Sus scrofa: one gene and its partners. The protein of the gene in region 3 interacts with the protein of the main gene of each other region in a pairwise test. Links are inferred from orthologs where the notes say so. Each region holds a gene or a part of one and is shown on either strand. Other genes may lie near its edges.

Region 1 (5,083 bases), on a different chromosome or scaffold from region 3:
CTTTCCCTGTCATCCTACTCTCAGGCTGGAAAATTCTAGACTTGCTTCTTTTAGACTCTGTGGAATTTGACTACCTGCCTAATCTCTGGACCTGGCACTAGCCCTACCACAGCGTTAATTAATCCAGGGACTGAAAAGGAGGGAGCCCAGAAACCAGCAAGCCACCTCAGGCCACATCTTAACAAGAATATAGACAGTTAATTGCTGGCTAATTGTTTTAAAGTTCATATGATGAGTGCTCAGGTAGCTATGAAAGCAAGGTATTCTAGTGGTTTTGGAGGAATCCCATTAAGCTTTCTGTCATAACAACAGATAGCTGCTAATTGTCCAAGTAAGTCTCTGAGTAAGTAAGATTCACCTGGAATATGGAGTTTGGGAGGAGGTGGCTATTAATTAGAATTGGTAGTAAATAAATAATAATAAAGAAGACGAATAAACAAATATGATTATTAATGAGCTATTAGAAGAAGAAATCAACTACCTAGTTTTCAGCCAAAAGATGATACAAAGAGCAACAGCTGGTTGTCTCTCACACAAGACCTTGACCCTTCCCTTCCAGGGTTTCATGACCTAATAAAATATTTTATTTCAATTAGGCTAAAATTTCATGCGTTGCTTTGGTTCAGATTAACTCAGGGAATTTAAAAAACAAAACTGATTTGGTTTCCCGCTGAGTCAATAATTTAAAATCTAATTGTGTAGGGAGGAGTGGCAAACTATCAGGTTTAGGTTCACCTGTTTGATTCTAGACACTGCTTCCAGCCCCTGCTACAGAACCACATTGAGAAGGGAACGCCTGGAATTTAGTTACATTCCCACAGGCAATGGAATTTTTCTGCTGTTTAAGAGGTAGGTAAGAGCATTTCACAACTAGGTAACTTTCAGAGATTTGTCGAAGGTTCTGCACAGTGAGTGACCCACCTGAGATATTATACACCGCAAGGTACGCACAACTGTAAGATTCCTAGACTCAGATCTACCATTATTTGCTGTGTGATCAGGTAAATCACTATTCAAGTCTCTGTTTCTTACCTATAAAATGGGTCGAATATGCCACATGAGGCTGCTTTGAGAAATACAGAACTTAAGAGATCCTGGGTTCACTGTTAGTTTCGTGTGAGGCTTTTCTTTTCTTTTTATTTTTTTTTGTCTTTTTAGGGCCGCAGCTGGGGCATATGGAGGTTCCTAGGCTAGGGGTCCAATCGGAGCTGTAGCAGCCGTCCTACCCCAGACCCACAGCAACGCGGGATCCAAGCCTCCTCTGCGACCCACACCGCAGCTCACGGCAAGGTCGGATCCTTAACCCACTTAGCGGGGCCAGGAATCGAACCCTCATGGATGCTAGTAGGGTTCGCTAACCACTGAGCCACGACGGAAACTCCTAAAGTGTGGGCTTTTTGATAAGGATCCAAAAAGGAAAGGAGACTTCCTGCCTCCTCGCTCAGGTCAGAGTCTTGACGAGCCCGCCCCCTCCCCATCTGCCACACCACCCTCTCCCTCCTTGAATTTGAGCATCAGAACATTGTTCTAGTCTAGACTCTACCGCTACGTATGCGACGCCTGGCAATTCCAAATCTCTGGGTTTCGGTCGCCACCCAGGATGCTCATACGGTCTGTCCCGACCCTAACAACATGGCTGCGGGAAGTGGCTTTCAGGAAGAAAGAAGGTGTGGCACTGAAGGATCACTTCCGCTTCCGTCGGCGCAAACGCTTTCATTTCTTGAGCTACGGTGACTAAGATGGAATCGATTTTGGAGTCGCGGTCGGGACACTGGGCCGGGGGTCCGGCTCCTGGACAGTTCTACCGCATTCCTCCCACTCCTGGATCCATCGTGGACCCGGCATCCGTGCTCTATGGGAGTCCGATTACGCGCACCCAGTAAGCTCTTGGCGTCTTAGCCTGGGCGGGGGAGAGACCGTGGGGCCTGGTGCGGCCGGCTGGTTCGGGGAGCCAGGGCAGGCGAGGCGGGGACCCCCGGGCGCGCTAACAGCGGGACAGCTCGAGGAGTAGGGCCTGGAGAATGAAAGGAGCCATGGAAAGTCAGAAGCGGAACCCACAGAGCGGGAAGCGGGCCTAGGCTATTCTCCTCCACCTCTCGCCAGACCCTTCTTTATCTCCAGGAACCCCATGGTGACCGGGACCTCGGTTCTGGGAGTCAAGTTTGAGGGCGGAGTGGTGATTGCAGCAGACATGCTGGGCTCCTATGGTTCCTTGGCTCGTTTCCGCAACATCTCTCGCATTATGCGAGTCAACAACAGCACCATGCTGGGTGCTTCAGGAGACTACGCTGATTTCCAATATTTGAAGCAAGTTCTCGGCCAAATGGTGTAAGTCATCTAGAGAATAGGAGTAGTTCCCAGGTGGGGAGGGGAATCCACTGTTTTTATCCCATCAAGATGTTCTAGTGTGGAGGAACTTGAAGCTGCAGTAGAGGATGGGGAGACTTGTTGGGGGGTGAAAGATTCGAGGATGTTTGCAAATAGTTTATTTTAGTGGGTTTAAGAGGGGAAGATTGTGGTCACATCTTTTGGGGGTGGATGGAAAACCCGATTTCTGTTCTCTCCCTTTTCTCACAACCAATTCTTTTTAAGGATTGATGAGGAGCTGCTGGGAGATGGACACAGCTATAGTCCTAAAGCTATCCATTCGTGGCTGACCAGGGCCATGTACAGCCGCCGCTCCAAGATGAACCCCCTGTGGAACACCATGGTCATCGGAGGCTATGCTGATGGAGAGAGGTTGATTTGAATACAAATAACTATCTCTTCTCCCTGAGTGAATCCCACTTCTGACTCAGACCCCTTGGTCCCATCCTTCAGCTAACATATAGAAACCTAAGGTGAAATGAGTTCTTTGACCTATTGTGTCCTGTTAGCTTCCTGGGTTACGTGGACATGCTTGGTGTAGCCTATGAAGCCCCTTCGCTGGCCACTGGTTATGGTGCATACCTGGCTCAGGTAAGTAGTTGGTTGAGGGATGAGGGATAGAAGAAGACAGAAGGCAATAGGGATTAGTGGTTGTCTACCCTTGCAATTCTGACATGAGGAACAGGCTAGGATCCCTACTGCTGGGCAGATGGTTTTCTTTGTGGTCCAGAGACCATGTCAAGGTGATAGGTCCAGGAGTCAATATACATGTGCAAAGAGAGGACACTCTAGAATTTCCCTTTCAAGTGGGTCTTAGCACAAACAGTTCATGCTGGTGAGGCAATAATGAATGTCACCTTTTCACTCATTTATGATTCCTTTTACATTAAGGATTTGCGTCAAATTGCCTGGCATTCAGCCCCTCATATCTCCCATGTTTTCTTTTTTTTTTTTTTCTCCCTCTGATCTCTCTAGCCTCTGTTGCGAGAAGTTCTGGAGAAGCAGCCAGTGCTGAGCCAGGCCGAGGCCCGAGAGCTAGTGGAACGCTGCATGCGAGTGCTGTACTATCGAGATGCCCGTTCTTATAACAGGGTGAGAAGTGTGCATAAGGTGGTGGGGATCTAATTGGCAGGTTCTTGGATACTTCCCGTCCCTGAGTCTCTATGCTTCAAAGAAGAGGGTGTCCCATTTCTGTGTCTTCGCTTTTTCATTTTAGGGAAAGACCCTCAACTTGACCTTTGACCAGGGACTTCTTTCATGAGAGCTCTGCTTTTCTTTCAGTTTCAAATTGCCACTGTAACCGAAAAAGGTGTTGAAATAGAAGGACCCCTGTCTGCAGAGACCAACTGGGATATTGCCCACATGATCAGGTGATTGAAATTACAGTTAAAAAAAAAAAAAGTAGTTGGTAGAAAAGTTGGGAGACCCCTTGGTTGAACTAAGCTTAGTTTTTCTGGTGGTCTCAACCAAAAAATTCTCTGGGTGGAGAGGGTTTGGGTTGAGGATAGAGCTGCTTTTAGGAATTGATGTCTTACTCTATGGCTTCACAATCTTACATGGTTTTTTTCTTTTCAGTGGCTTTGAATGAAATATAGATAGATGCATTTTCCAGAACTGAAGTGGTACTTCTAACTTTGAACGTGGCTGGTTCAGAGATACAGTTCTTTTGTAAAATAAATAAATCCTTTAAAACATTTGGTGAGTGGTTGTATTGTTTGACTAGGTTACACCAAGAGTGAAACTGCTAAGTACTGCTGTAAGCCATCTATTCCTCTGCTAGTCAGAGGACCCTTTGGTTCTTGCTTTTTTTTTTTTTTTTTTTTTTTTGGCTTTTTAGGGCTGCACTTGGGGCATATGGAAGTTTCCAGGCTAGGGGTCAAATCAGAGCGATAGCTGTGGGCCTACACCACAGCTATAGCAACTCAGGAGCTATGTCTGCGAACTATACCACAGCTCACCTCACAGCAACATCAGATACTTAACCCACTGAGCGAGGCCAGAGATGGAACCCACGTCCTTGAGGATACTAGTTGTTAAAGCCACAATGGGAGTTCCTGATTCATGGGGTTTTTGTTTTGTTTTGTTTTGTTTTGTTTGGTCTTTTTGCCTTTTGTAGGCCTGCACCTGTGGTATATGAAGGTTCCCAGGTTAGGGGTCCAATTGGAGCTGTAGCCACAGCAATGTGGGATCCAAGCCGCATCTGTGACCTACACCACAGCTCAGGGCAACGCTGGATCCTTAACCCACTGAGCAAGGGCAGGGACCAAACCCGCAACCTCATGGTTCCTAGTCGGATTTGTTAACCACTGAGCCACAGCGGAAACTCCTGATTCATGGTTCTTAAAGCATAGAGTTCTCTGTGTGATAACACAGGACACCTACTGCTGTCGTCATTGGGTCTTTACTGAAGGCTGCTCTCTATAGAACTCACAATTAGCTTTTGTGGTCAATATTTTCACCCTGCACTAGGTTCCAAAATGAAGACTTTCTAGTTAATGTTGGCCGCAAATGTGATTTTAGTTAAAAAATCATTTCAAAGATAGAAATGTAACATCTAGGAGTGCTGCTCTTGGGGTTAATCCCAGGCTGGAATTGAAAGCCTTAATCCCTTACCCATCCAATCTTCTCACTTTTCATGGGGAATACTAAGTAATTTTAATTGACATTTAACCTACATGCTTATTGTCCACATCTACTAATTTCTAGCACTGTCAAA
Region 2 (4,815 bases), on a different chromosome or scaffold from region 3:
GCCCACTATACAGGTCAGAAAACTGAAGTTCCAAGAGGGAAGCAACTGACCCAAGGCTTTCCTGAGTGTGGACAGCAGGGCTGGCATTTGGACTTGAGACCATCAGGTTCCTTGAGCTGCTTACTTCCACTCACACCCAGCTGCCTGGGGGCCCCTCATCCCCAGCACACCCCCTCACAGGGCCCTAAGCAGCCTGCTGGAGAGTCTGAACACTCTGAAAACAAAGAGGCTTTACCACCCTCGGCCTGACTTCCCACCTTGAGGAGAGAAGAAAAGATTGCAGACAAGATGTTTCTTCTGGAAGAGGCCCAAAGCACTCAAGGGGAGAGGCGATGTCATGTGGAAGCTGACCACTGGCCATGGAGTCAAAGGCAGGTGGGCTTGGCCTTTTGGAGTCACCCCGCCCCTGGGAGCCCCTGCCCCCACCTACCCCGTCCACCAGGTTGGACATCCGGAGCCGCCTCCTGCTCCTGCATCCTGGGGCACACCCCTCAAACTGCCATATGTTCACAACTCGTATTTCTCAGCAGCTGCCACCACCCAGGAGCCTGCCCTTGACACTGGTGGGGGGGGGGGCGCACGAGCAGGGTGCAAACATTCAGGAAGAAGCCCCAAGCGCTTTGCAGAACACTTCCTGCTGTGGCTTCATACTGACCCTGCCCCTCGGATCTGTGTTTATAAACAGCGCCAGGCCCCAGCAGCTTCCAGAGCCTCAACTCTAGGCTCCTTTGGAGCTGCCTAGAGAAACAACAGCCTTGATAGAGTAGCTGTGCTCAACTTAGGGGCTCCTCTCTCCAGGAAATCAGAGCTCCGTGCAAACTACTACGCACCCTCCTCTCAGGGACTTTCTAGACCACCCCGTCTCAGGTTAAGAGTCTCAGATTTCCAAGTTTATCAACAAGCCCCCTTCACCCTCCCCTCGAACCAGCCCATTTTGCACTCCAAAAGACAAAATCTCTGGTTCTCACTACAAAAGGGTGAGAAAGCTCCTAAAAGAGGGAGATATTTCAATGAGACGTATAGTAAGCACTTCTTGGTGACAGCAAAGCACTGGAGGAAAAAGAAGTCTCCCTAGAATCAGAGCAAGCTATGCTGCAGTCGTGAGCCCCCCTGAATGGAGGCTCACATTTTAGAAAACTTGAAAAAGGGTCCTCTAAAAAAAAGACAAGAGACAAAAAAAATTATAAGGCGTTCCCGTCGTGGCGCAGCGGAAACAAATCCGACTAGGAACCATGAGGTTGTGGGTTTGATCCCTGGCCTTGCTCAGTGGGTTAAGGATCCGGTGTTGCCGTGAGCCATGGTGTAGGTTGCAGATGCGGCTCGGATCTGACGTTGCTGTGGCTCTGGCGTAGGCCGGCAGCAATAGCTCCAATTAGACCCCTAGCCTGAGAACCTCCATACGCTGTGGGTGCAGCTTTAAAAAAAAAGACAAAAGACAAGAAAAAGGGTCAACTTGATTTAATTGGGGTTGGGGGGGCAGCCACTGGAGGGTCAAGCAGAGTTCATCAGATCATATTTCAAGGCCCTGAATGGTATAAGAGTTCAGACCCCACTCTCTGGCTGGAGGATCGGCGGGAGCCCAGAGCCAAAACCCCACAGCAGAGGAGGTTAAATTTCAGGGCTCCAGGGGACTTCAGGTTGCAGGCTGCTGCCTTGGGCTTGCACATCTCTAGGGCAGGTACTCAATTTCTCAAAATTCCAGAGGAGCAGAAGCATGTGTTCTAGGTACAGGGGGAGGGAGCTCAGGGGTGAAGGGAGGGTAATACCCTATAATCACAGAACCTTGAGGGCTTCATTTCAGACCCCAGTGGGAAGGGAAGGGAGATGTAAGGAAAGGGAAAGAAAACATTTACAGGTCAAGACCCTGGGGAGGACAGACCAGAGGGGTGGGGGTGCCTCAGTTCTGCAAAGGTCCTGCCCTCTACATCCCTGAGACCTGTGGCCTTGAGTAAACTTCTTACAGAAGAAGTCTCGTGCAGTCAGGGGCAAGAGTTCTGGAGCCTCACCTCAGAGAGGCTACCTTGAAGAAAATACATCTCTGGAAAACTGATGCTTCCAGCTTAGTCCCAAGAGGGTTAAAAAGGACCCTAAGCTAAGAGAAGGGATGGTATCTATGGGATGTGGAACCTGGACCCCAAACAGGAATACAGCAGAGAAGCACTAGGAACTACCCTACAGAAAAAATCCTACCCTGCAGTCAATCAGAGACCTTCCAAGGACCAACACGAGAGACCAGAAGAAAGAGAGAGGGGCCTCAGATGCCAAAGCTGGGATGCAAAAGCAGGGGTTCTGGGGCTAGGTGGAAAGGGAGTGTGATCTGAGCAGTAGATCCACAATGAAGTAGAATACAGAGGAAACAGCCAAGGTTGGGAAATAAGAGTCTGATCCCGCAAGGGTGAGGACTAGAACCCCCAGAAGTAGTCCAAAAGGGCATAGATGCTGTCCTAAAGGGGAAGAGGGAGAAGGAAGGCAGAGCTCAGAACCGAAGACTGAGAGGAGAGAGATGGGAAGGTCTTGGACACAGGGGCCAGAGCTCCATCCCAGGGGGGCACACTCAGTTAACACCAAGCCCACTCCAGGGTGAGGAAGGTGTCGGGAGGGAGGCGGGGTTCTGGAACCAGAGCAGGAGCTGAACAGGGCCCCAAACACCAGTTTAGCGTACAGACCCCAAGAGACACACTATTTTTGAGGGACATTGAGGACCCCAGCTCATCACTCCGGACGGTGCAAGCGGTGGCAGAAGAGTCAGGGGACCCTTCTGAGCAAGGAGTAGCCAACCCCAGTCTAGTCGGCTAGTCGGCTGGGGCGAGGAGGCTAAGACCCTGACGGCAGCCATGGCGGGAGAGAAGACGCGCAGACAATCCCAAAGGCCAAAGAGCGCGGACCCCTGTTTGGGACGAGAAGACAAGCAGCTCAGCCCGTGAAGCTGTCCGTGGGGACTGTGCCTCAAGCTGGGAGGCGCGGCCCTGTGCCCGTGTTTAGGGAGATTTGTAGGTAACCTAACCGCTCGAGCTGGAGAAGGGGACCCCAAGCTCAAGCCCAGGGGCCGACCCCCCAGGGCGAAGAGTGGGGTGAGGTTTTCGGGGGCCCCGCCCCCGGCCTCCGCGCGCCCCGCCCGCACCCGGAGTCCGGGGACCAGGGGCGGGCGAGGAGGCCGGACGCCGAGGTGCGAGCGGGCTGTGTCTCAGGACCCCGAGCGGAAGGCGCAGACCTCGGCCTGCCGCCCGGTCCACGCACCCCCCACCCTCCCGGGCCGGCGCCGCGGCCGCTCACTCACTTTGGCCTCCACCAGCTCCGCCGCCATCTTGGCCACCAGCGTCCCCCGCGCCGGGAGCCCCCAGCCGTCGCGTCACGTGACTGCCCTCCACTCGCGGGCGGGGCCTATGCCGCGACCAATTAGCACCCGCGCGCCCTCCTCCCCGCGGCGCGCGCGACCGCGCACTGCGCAGGCGCGCGCGGCCACCGCCCGGGCCTCGGGCCAATCAGGGTGGCCCGACACCGCCCCCCTCTTTAGCTCGCGGCGACCACGCCCACCCCTGGCTGCGTCTAGCTTCTTAAAGGCGCACGAGTGCCGCACAGGTAGGGGTGGGTGCTGGGTCCTGTCTTGGGAGGGAATAGATAGCAGAGGCGACAACAATGCAGCAAGGTGTTGCGGGTCCCCGGTGCGAGGCGGCTGCCAGGTGCTTGACCGGACGCCCGGTGGCGTGGGGGCGGGGAGAAGACAGTTGGCCGGCTCAGCAGCTGCCAATGCGTGCAGCGAGGCGCCTTGCAGAGCAGCGCTGTGCAGCCTCAGGCGTGCTATACATCCGGGTCCTGGCTCGGCAGAGGGGGCTCGGGCGCGGCGCCCCCCACTTAGTTGGCTCCCGGCGGAGAAATGCGGGACCTCCTGCCCACTTCCCGGAGCTCGTGCATCCCTCACACCCGTAAGCGTACTCCTCTCGCTAGTTCTGGCTCCCCATCCACAGTAAACCTTTGGAATCTGCACTAACCGGAAACTCCCCTGCTCAAGAGCTCTCTGTGGCTCCTCAGTGCTCGCGGGCCACAGAGCTCAAAGTTTCTTGTATCAAAAGCAGGAAGAAAGAGGACAAAACTGTGTATTTCAGGGCCCATCCCTTGACATTATAAATATCAGGGCAAGAATTAGCCGAAATTTGAGTGCCCCAAATGACCCTGTTATCAAGATAAATGTTTGTGTGATATATGTGAGAGATATATATACATATTTTTTTTTTTTTTGGCTGTTCCTCAGGGCATGGCAAGTTTTCCAGGCCAGGAGTTGAATCCGCACCGAAGAAGCGACCCAAGCCATAGCAGTGACATTGCCAGATCCTTAACCACTAGGCCACTAGGGAACTCCTGTGCAATATTTTTTAAGAAAAATTAATGCAGGAGTTCCCGTCGTGGCGCAGTGGTTAACGAATCCGACTAGGAACCATGAGGTTGCGGGTTCGATCCCTGCCCTTGCTCAGTGGGTTAACGATCCGGCGTTGCCGTGAGCTGTGGTGTAGGTTGCAGACACGGCTTGGATCCTGCGTTGCTGTGGCTCCGGCGTAGGCTGGCAGCTACAGCTCCGATTGGACCCCTAGCCTGAGAACCTCCATATGCCGCAGGAGCGGCCCAAAGAAATAGCAAAAAGACAAAAAAAAAAAAAAAGAAAGAAAGAAAAAGAAAAATTAATGCAAAAAAACTCCATGATGAAGAAAATACTAATTTAAGAGAGAATCTAACTCTGCAGTTGCAGTCAATACCTCCCTCACCTCACCATAACTCATTTACCTCACCCAAAACTCTGACTCTGCAGGGTTTTGTTTTACT
Region 3 (5,051 bases):
CCACAGAGTTGTGCAACCATCACCACAAACTAATTTTAGAACATTTTTGTCACACACCCCCCCCCCAAAATCCATAACCTTTAGCGGTCACGTTCCCGCTCCTTATTCTCCCAAACATAGACAACCACCATTCTGTCTCTATAGATTTGCCTATTCTGGATATTTTATTTTTTTGTCTTTTTAACACTGCACTCGAGGCATATGGAGGTTTCCAGGCTAGGGGTCCAATCCGAGCTACAGCTGCTGGCCTACGCCACAGCCACAGCAATGTGGGACCCGAGCTTCGTCTGTAACCTACACCACATCTCACCGCAACTCCGGATCCTTAACCCACTGATGGAGGCCAGGGATCAAACCTGAAACCTCATGGTTAATAGTCGGTTTCATTAATCACTGAGCAACTACGGGAACTCCATTTATATTTTATATAAATGGAAGCTTACAGTCTGTGGGGTTTTTGTCTAGCTTCTTTCACTTAGCATAGGGTTTGCAAGTTTCATCCACGTAGAATGTCAGAACTTCATTCCTTTTTATGACTGAATGTGTTCCATTGTGTGCATACAGCACATTCTATTTATCAAAGGAGGGTTTGAGCACAGTAGTGACCTGTTTGGAGTGGCATTTCACAAGGCTCATTGCAACTGTTGCTGCCAGGGGTAGAGAATGAATTAACTGTCAAATGCTGTTCTTAGGGGAAACAAGACAAGGCCCAAGAATTGACCTGTAAGTGCTCAAATAATTGAACGAAGAAATTAGCAGACATAGTCTGACTATATATAAACAGTATTTTATGTATTTGGGGGGACCTGTTGCATTTCTTTTGAATGATTAAACATGGGATGTAGCAATAAGATGGTTAATAAGTAAGAATTTAAAATGGAATGTGCACATGTAAAGTACATGACAATTGGAGAATACCATTAATTTGACTTAAAAAAAATGATGGTAATAGTTCTTTTGGAACACGTAAATTTACTCCTCAGAATCATTATTCTCTAAACATAACCTTACCCTAATCATCCAAGATTTCAGGCCAGCTTCTAGAGAGCCGGCTAAGAGAAGAAAAAACTCTCATAAACAGACATTTTTAATGTCTGTGCAGATCAGGTGGATGGGAGCTAGTTTAGTTTTATTTTGGGAAGTTGGTGTCAACCAAAAGGTGGCAGAACCTGGATCAAAAAATTGAGAGTTCTGTTGCGGCATCTGTCATTTGGAGCAAAGACGTTAACTACTGGAATCTCTAGATCCTGAAACTGGCATCAAACACATGTATTGATTCAAGGTTTGGGCTAAGTACAAGAAATAGTTACTAGGTTATCCAGTTTTCAGTACGTGCAACTTCTGGGGCTTGCAAATCTTTGAGGAGTGAGGGGCAAGGAAAACTAGACCTAAAAGGCGAGGCTCGAAAGGTGATGATCAAAAATGCACTCTATGTTTAAAATGCGATTCGGTGGGCGGGGTGGCCAAATGTTTCGGAAAATAAACATAGAACGCGGAACTTCCCTTGCAGGTAAGGCTGAGTTGGCTTCACGGGGACCAGAGGAGGCAGGGACAGCCGTTTCGATTCCTAGGAATCAGCGGGGCGGTGGGCGGGGGAGGCGGCGCGGGCCCGGCGCTCGCGCTGGCGGGGCCGGGAATTTGGAGAGGATCCCTGGTCGCGCGGCGGCGGCGGCGGCGCGCGCGGGTGCGCGTGTGAGCGAGCGAGGGAGCGGGAGGGCGAGTGCGCCCGGTATTGGCAGCGGAGGAGTGGAGGCTGGGCGGCTCCGACTCCCTGACGCCAGCGCGACCAGATCAATCCAAGCTCCCGGAGCAAGCGAGCGAGCGGGCGGGCGGGAGGAGGAAGGAGAGGCCGAGCCGCTGAGCCCGAGCCGAGGCGCGGGGAGGGACCCTGCGAGCGCAGCGCCCGGCCGGCCGGACCGGGGCCGCGGGGGACCCCGCTCGCCCGGCCACCTCGTGCGCCCGCGCGGACGGGCGCGCAGCCAACCCGGTAAAACGAAACAGACCCGAACCCAACTTTCTCCTCCGCCGCGTCCCCGCCCTCCCTTCGGCGCCCCGCGGACTTTCCAGCGCCGCCGCCACCGCCTCGGGTTGGGGCGGGCGCGGGCCAGCCGGGTGGCCGCGGTCGTGCACCGGGCCAGTGGTGCGGTTGAGGCGGAGAGGGGGCTCTTCCCCGCGTGGGGCGGACCGGCACCCCCCCCCCCCATGATGGCGCCTCCCGGCAGCTCTAGGGAACCAACCTGCCACCTTCTCTCCCCTCGCGCTCCGCCAGCCAGGCTGGGCTTGGGCCGGAGTGCCCCCTGCGTCTTTGTTGGGTCCCCGGCGGGGACGCCGCGTCCCTTGGCCCCCAGCCTCGCCCCGATCCCTGCCCGCGGCCGGCCCTCGGCGGCCACCCTCCCCCCTCCGCCCGTTTCCCTTTCCCTTCCTGCAGCCGGGCCTGAGCCGTCGGCGCGGCCCGCCGGGCCCATTGTGTCCCGCGCCGGCCGGGCGACCCCTGCGGGAGTCGGAGGGCGGCCGCGGGCGCTGTCCTTTCCGCGAAGTGGGGCTCGCGCGAGGGGGCACCCGGTGCCCTGCGTCCCTCCGGCTTCGGGCCGGGCTCCCTCTTCTGCCCCGGCCAGCCTCTTGAGGGTCGAGGTCAAGGAAAGTTCTCACCTAAATTCTCTCTAATTTAGTCAAAGGTTTGGCTGCACGTAATTTTTTTTTTTCTCTTCCGCCTACCCCCCCCCCCCCCCCGCGCCCCGAGTCTCCAAGTGTCGTCTCATTCCTTTCCCTTTCCCGGATTTGATTGCCTCACTGCATGTGTATTTGTGAGTTCGCCGTGGAACAAGTGTTCATTTACTCTGCGCATGGTCTTTGTTAGTGTTTCTCGGGGTTGTTTCTGCAGGAAGGTGGGGGTGGTGGGTGTGAGAGAGACAGACGTGGGCTTGTTTTTCTAGTTGCTTAATACATATGAAGGCTTCCCAGGGAGAGCGTTTCCTTGATGTACTTTGGGAAGGGAGGAGGAACAGATGCCTGCCGGATCTTACAACTCCAGTAGCTGCGGCTTTTGTTTATTTTGAGGCGTGGACGATGTTTAAATGCACCGTGCAAGATCCCCAGTAAGGCGCTTTCCCTTCTGCAGATCGAGGAGCGTCTCAGAACTGTCTCCTGAGAAAGCACCATTGTCGTGAGAGCTCTGACAGCCGGCCTTTTTCTTTCCGCTGAGGTTCTTTTGCCATTGCAGCTGAAGTTTCAAAGTCTATGGAATGATCCCAGAAGTTGCCTGAGCTCTGTATGCCTTTGCGTTGCTGAAACTCTTCGCGATTAGCTCGATCGCAGAATGCCTTTATTTCAGAGCATATCTCGCTCTCCTTGGCTGTCGTGGATGACGTGCCCACATTCAGGAACACAGTGAGAAAACTGTCTTCTGCCCATGTTGATTTTTCGTCTTGTTTCTAATTACTCCTTTGCACTTTATTGGCGGTAGGTGAGCGGTCTTGGAACCAGGATTTCAGAAGAATTGAGGCAGAATCAATGTTCACCGCCCCAGGATTTTCAGTTAGTATAAATATTTTGCATCAGTGTTATTCTGATGGAGGTGCCAGGCCTAAATCTGCTGTGCTGATTTAAGTATTTGTCCTCTGTCCTCCCTCCCTCTTTGCATTTGCAGTTACTTGATATTTCTGTGCAGGTGGTGTACATTTGTGTAGTATTGCCATTCTTAGGAAACTGTAACCAGGGTCGTGGGAGATGATTTTCTAGAGGTGGGTGATGCCAGAGTCTCTGGAGGATCCGGGCAGGATCGGGTGTCTTCTGAGGGTAGGGATTTGTCCTTGATTTAGTTTTGACCCTTCCAACCATAGGTATGTAACTAAATACATTTTTCCTTCTTGCAGTATCCTTTGGTTTTGTACCTTCGAAGAGCTGATGACCTTTGCATTTTAGAGAAATGATAGTTTTTAGGCGGTTAAAAATGTTACGCTCTTACACCTCTTGGCATTTATTTATTTTTTCCAAGTTCATTAAAGCGTTAAGAGCAGGTAAGCCTCGTTTTCCCCAATACATTTATTAGTTGAAAACTAAATTGCAGTTTGTAATTTTGATTTCTAGTAATTCTGGGTTTAGTAACTTGGTTAGATTGGAAAAAGAATAAACTTGAGTGTAATTAGATGAGTATATTTAAGCTGCAGTCGCCTACATAATCAAGGCCAAGTTGTGTGTGTATAAAAGATCTCATTTGTGTAGTCTTACAAGGCTAATGGAGGCATCATTGAGGCTTTATAAATAATGTAAGTTGTGTATAATGTAGCGTCTCCAGAGACGGCAGAGAAAGCATCATTACCAGCCTTTTCAACCTGCTTGAGATCTTAAATTGATTTACAGCACTGAACTGGTGCAAAATGATACATCAGGATGACATGGGGTCAGCCTGTAAAAGTCTATGATGTCAGCCTATTAGTTCAGTCATCATAATTAAACCGTATTACAGGGGCAGCTAAGCAGGAGTCTGGCGTTATCCTTCAGATATGGGTGGTACATGTATTTTGTTTATGGTGGAAAGGCTGAACTGACAAGGAACGCTAGGGTTTCTAAAAAAGGGGAAAGGCTTACAGAACTCTGAATTTCTGAAAAAAACTGAAGGTACGTGAAGGGCTGTTCAGTCTGCATTGTCTAAATAGCTTTCCATTAGGTCGTGGAGAAACAGATGCTTTGGGGTGCTGATAAGGACCGTTGCAGCTCAGATCTGTGCACTGAACCATGCTTCATGTGAGCTTGAATTTAACTTGGCCTTAGGGACTTTCTAAAATATCAGAGGACCACATACTTTGTATCCCTCATCCTTTTATTAACACTGACTTGCACTGTATTGATGCACCCACTGCTATGTTATTTCTTTAACTAGTCATAGTTAACCAGGTCTCCACTGAAAAGTGAGATATTGGAATTGAACATATGAGCAATTCAGGAAAAGAAGATTCTTATTTTTGGCTTAACTTTCTGGCAGTCCTTATTCAGTTTGTGGGACACCTAGGGCTGTGCTGTCCATTGAGGTAGCTATAATGGCATGTGGGTAT

Evidence for each region. The genes of interacting proteins can lie anywhere in the genome.
Region 1: the proteins of SMAD1 (region 3) and PSMB4 interact in binary tests that used the Homo sapiens proteins (3 or more experiments, as listed by UniProt). The link is inferred for Sus scrofa from reciprocal best matches to the Homo sapiens genes SMAD1 and PSMB4.
Region 2: the proteins of SMAD1 (region 3) and PIAS4 interact in a two-hybrid assay, tested with the Homo sapiens proteins (2 studies listed by BioGRID and IntAct). The link is inferred for Sus scrofa from reciprocal best matches to the Homo sapiens genes SMAD1 and PIAS4.

What each region holds. Positions count from the first base shown.
Region 1 is NC_010446.5:97,834,524-97,839,606, reverse strand, and holds PSMB4 (proteasome subunit beta type-4), read left to right. Parts: upstream 1-1,697; 5' UTR 1,698-1,739; coding exon 1,740-1,879; intron 1,880-2,121; coding exon 2,122-2,328; intron 2,329-2,592; coding exon 2,593-2,739; intron 2,740-2,876; coding exon 2,877-2,958; intron 2,959-3,342; coding exon 3,343-3,459; intron 3,460-3,648; coding exon 3,649-3,737; intron 3,738-3,942; coding exon 3,943-3,955; 3' UTR 3,956-4,063; downstream 4,064-5,083. UniProt on the Homo sapiens protein: Non-catalytic component of the 20S core proteasome complex involved in the proteolytic degradation of most intracellular proteins. This complex plays numerous essential roles within the cell by associating with different regulatory particles.
Region 2 is NC_010444.4:74,726,407-74,731,221, forward strand, and holds the start of PIAS4 (E3 SUMO-protein ligase PIAS4), read right to left. Parts: upstream 3,387-4,815; 5' UTR 3,305-3,386; coding exon 3,278-3,304; intron 1-3,277.
Region 3 is NC_010450.4:82,984,662-82,989,712, reverse strand, and holds the start of SMAD1 (mothers against decapentaplegic homolog 1), read left to right. Parts: upstream 1-1,803; 5' UTR 1,804-1,987; intron 1,988-2,659; exon of another isoform or gene 2,660-2,675; intron 2,676-2,743; exon of another isoform or gene 2,744-3,534; intron 3,535-5,051. UniProt on the Homo sapiens protein: Transcriptional modulator that plays a role in various cellular processes, including embryonic development, cell differentiation, and tissue homeostasis.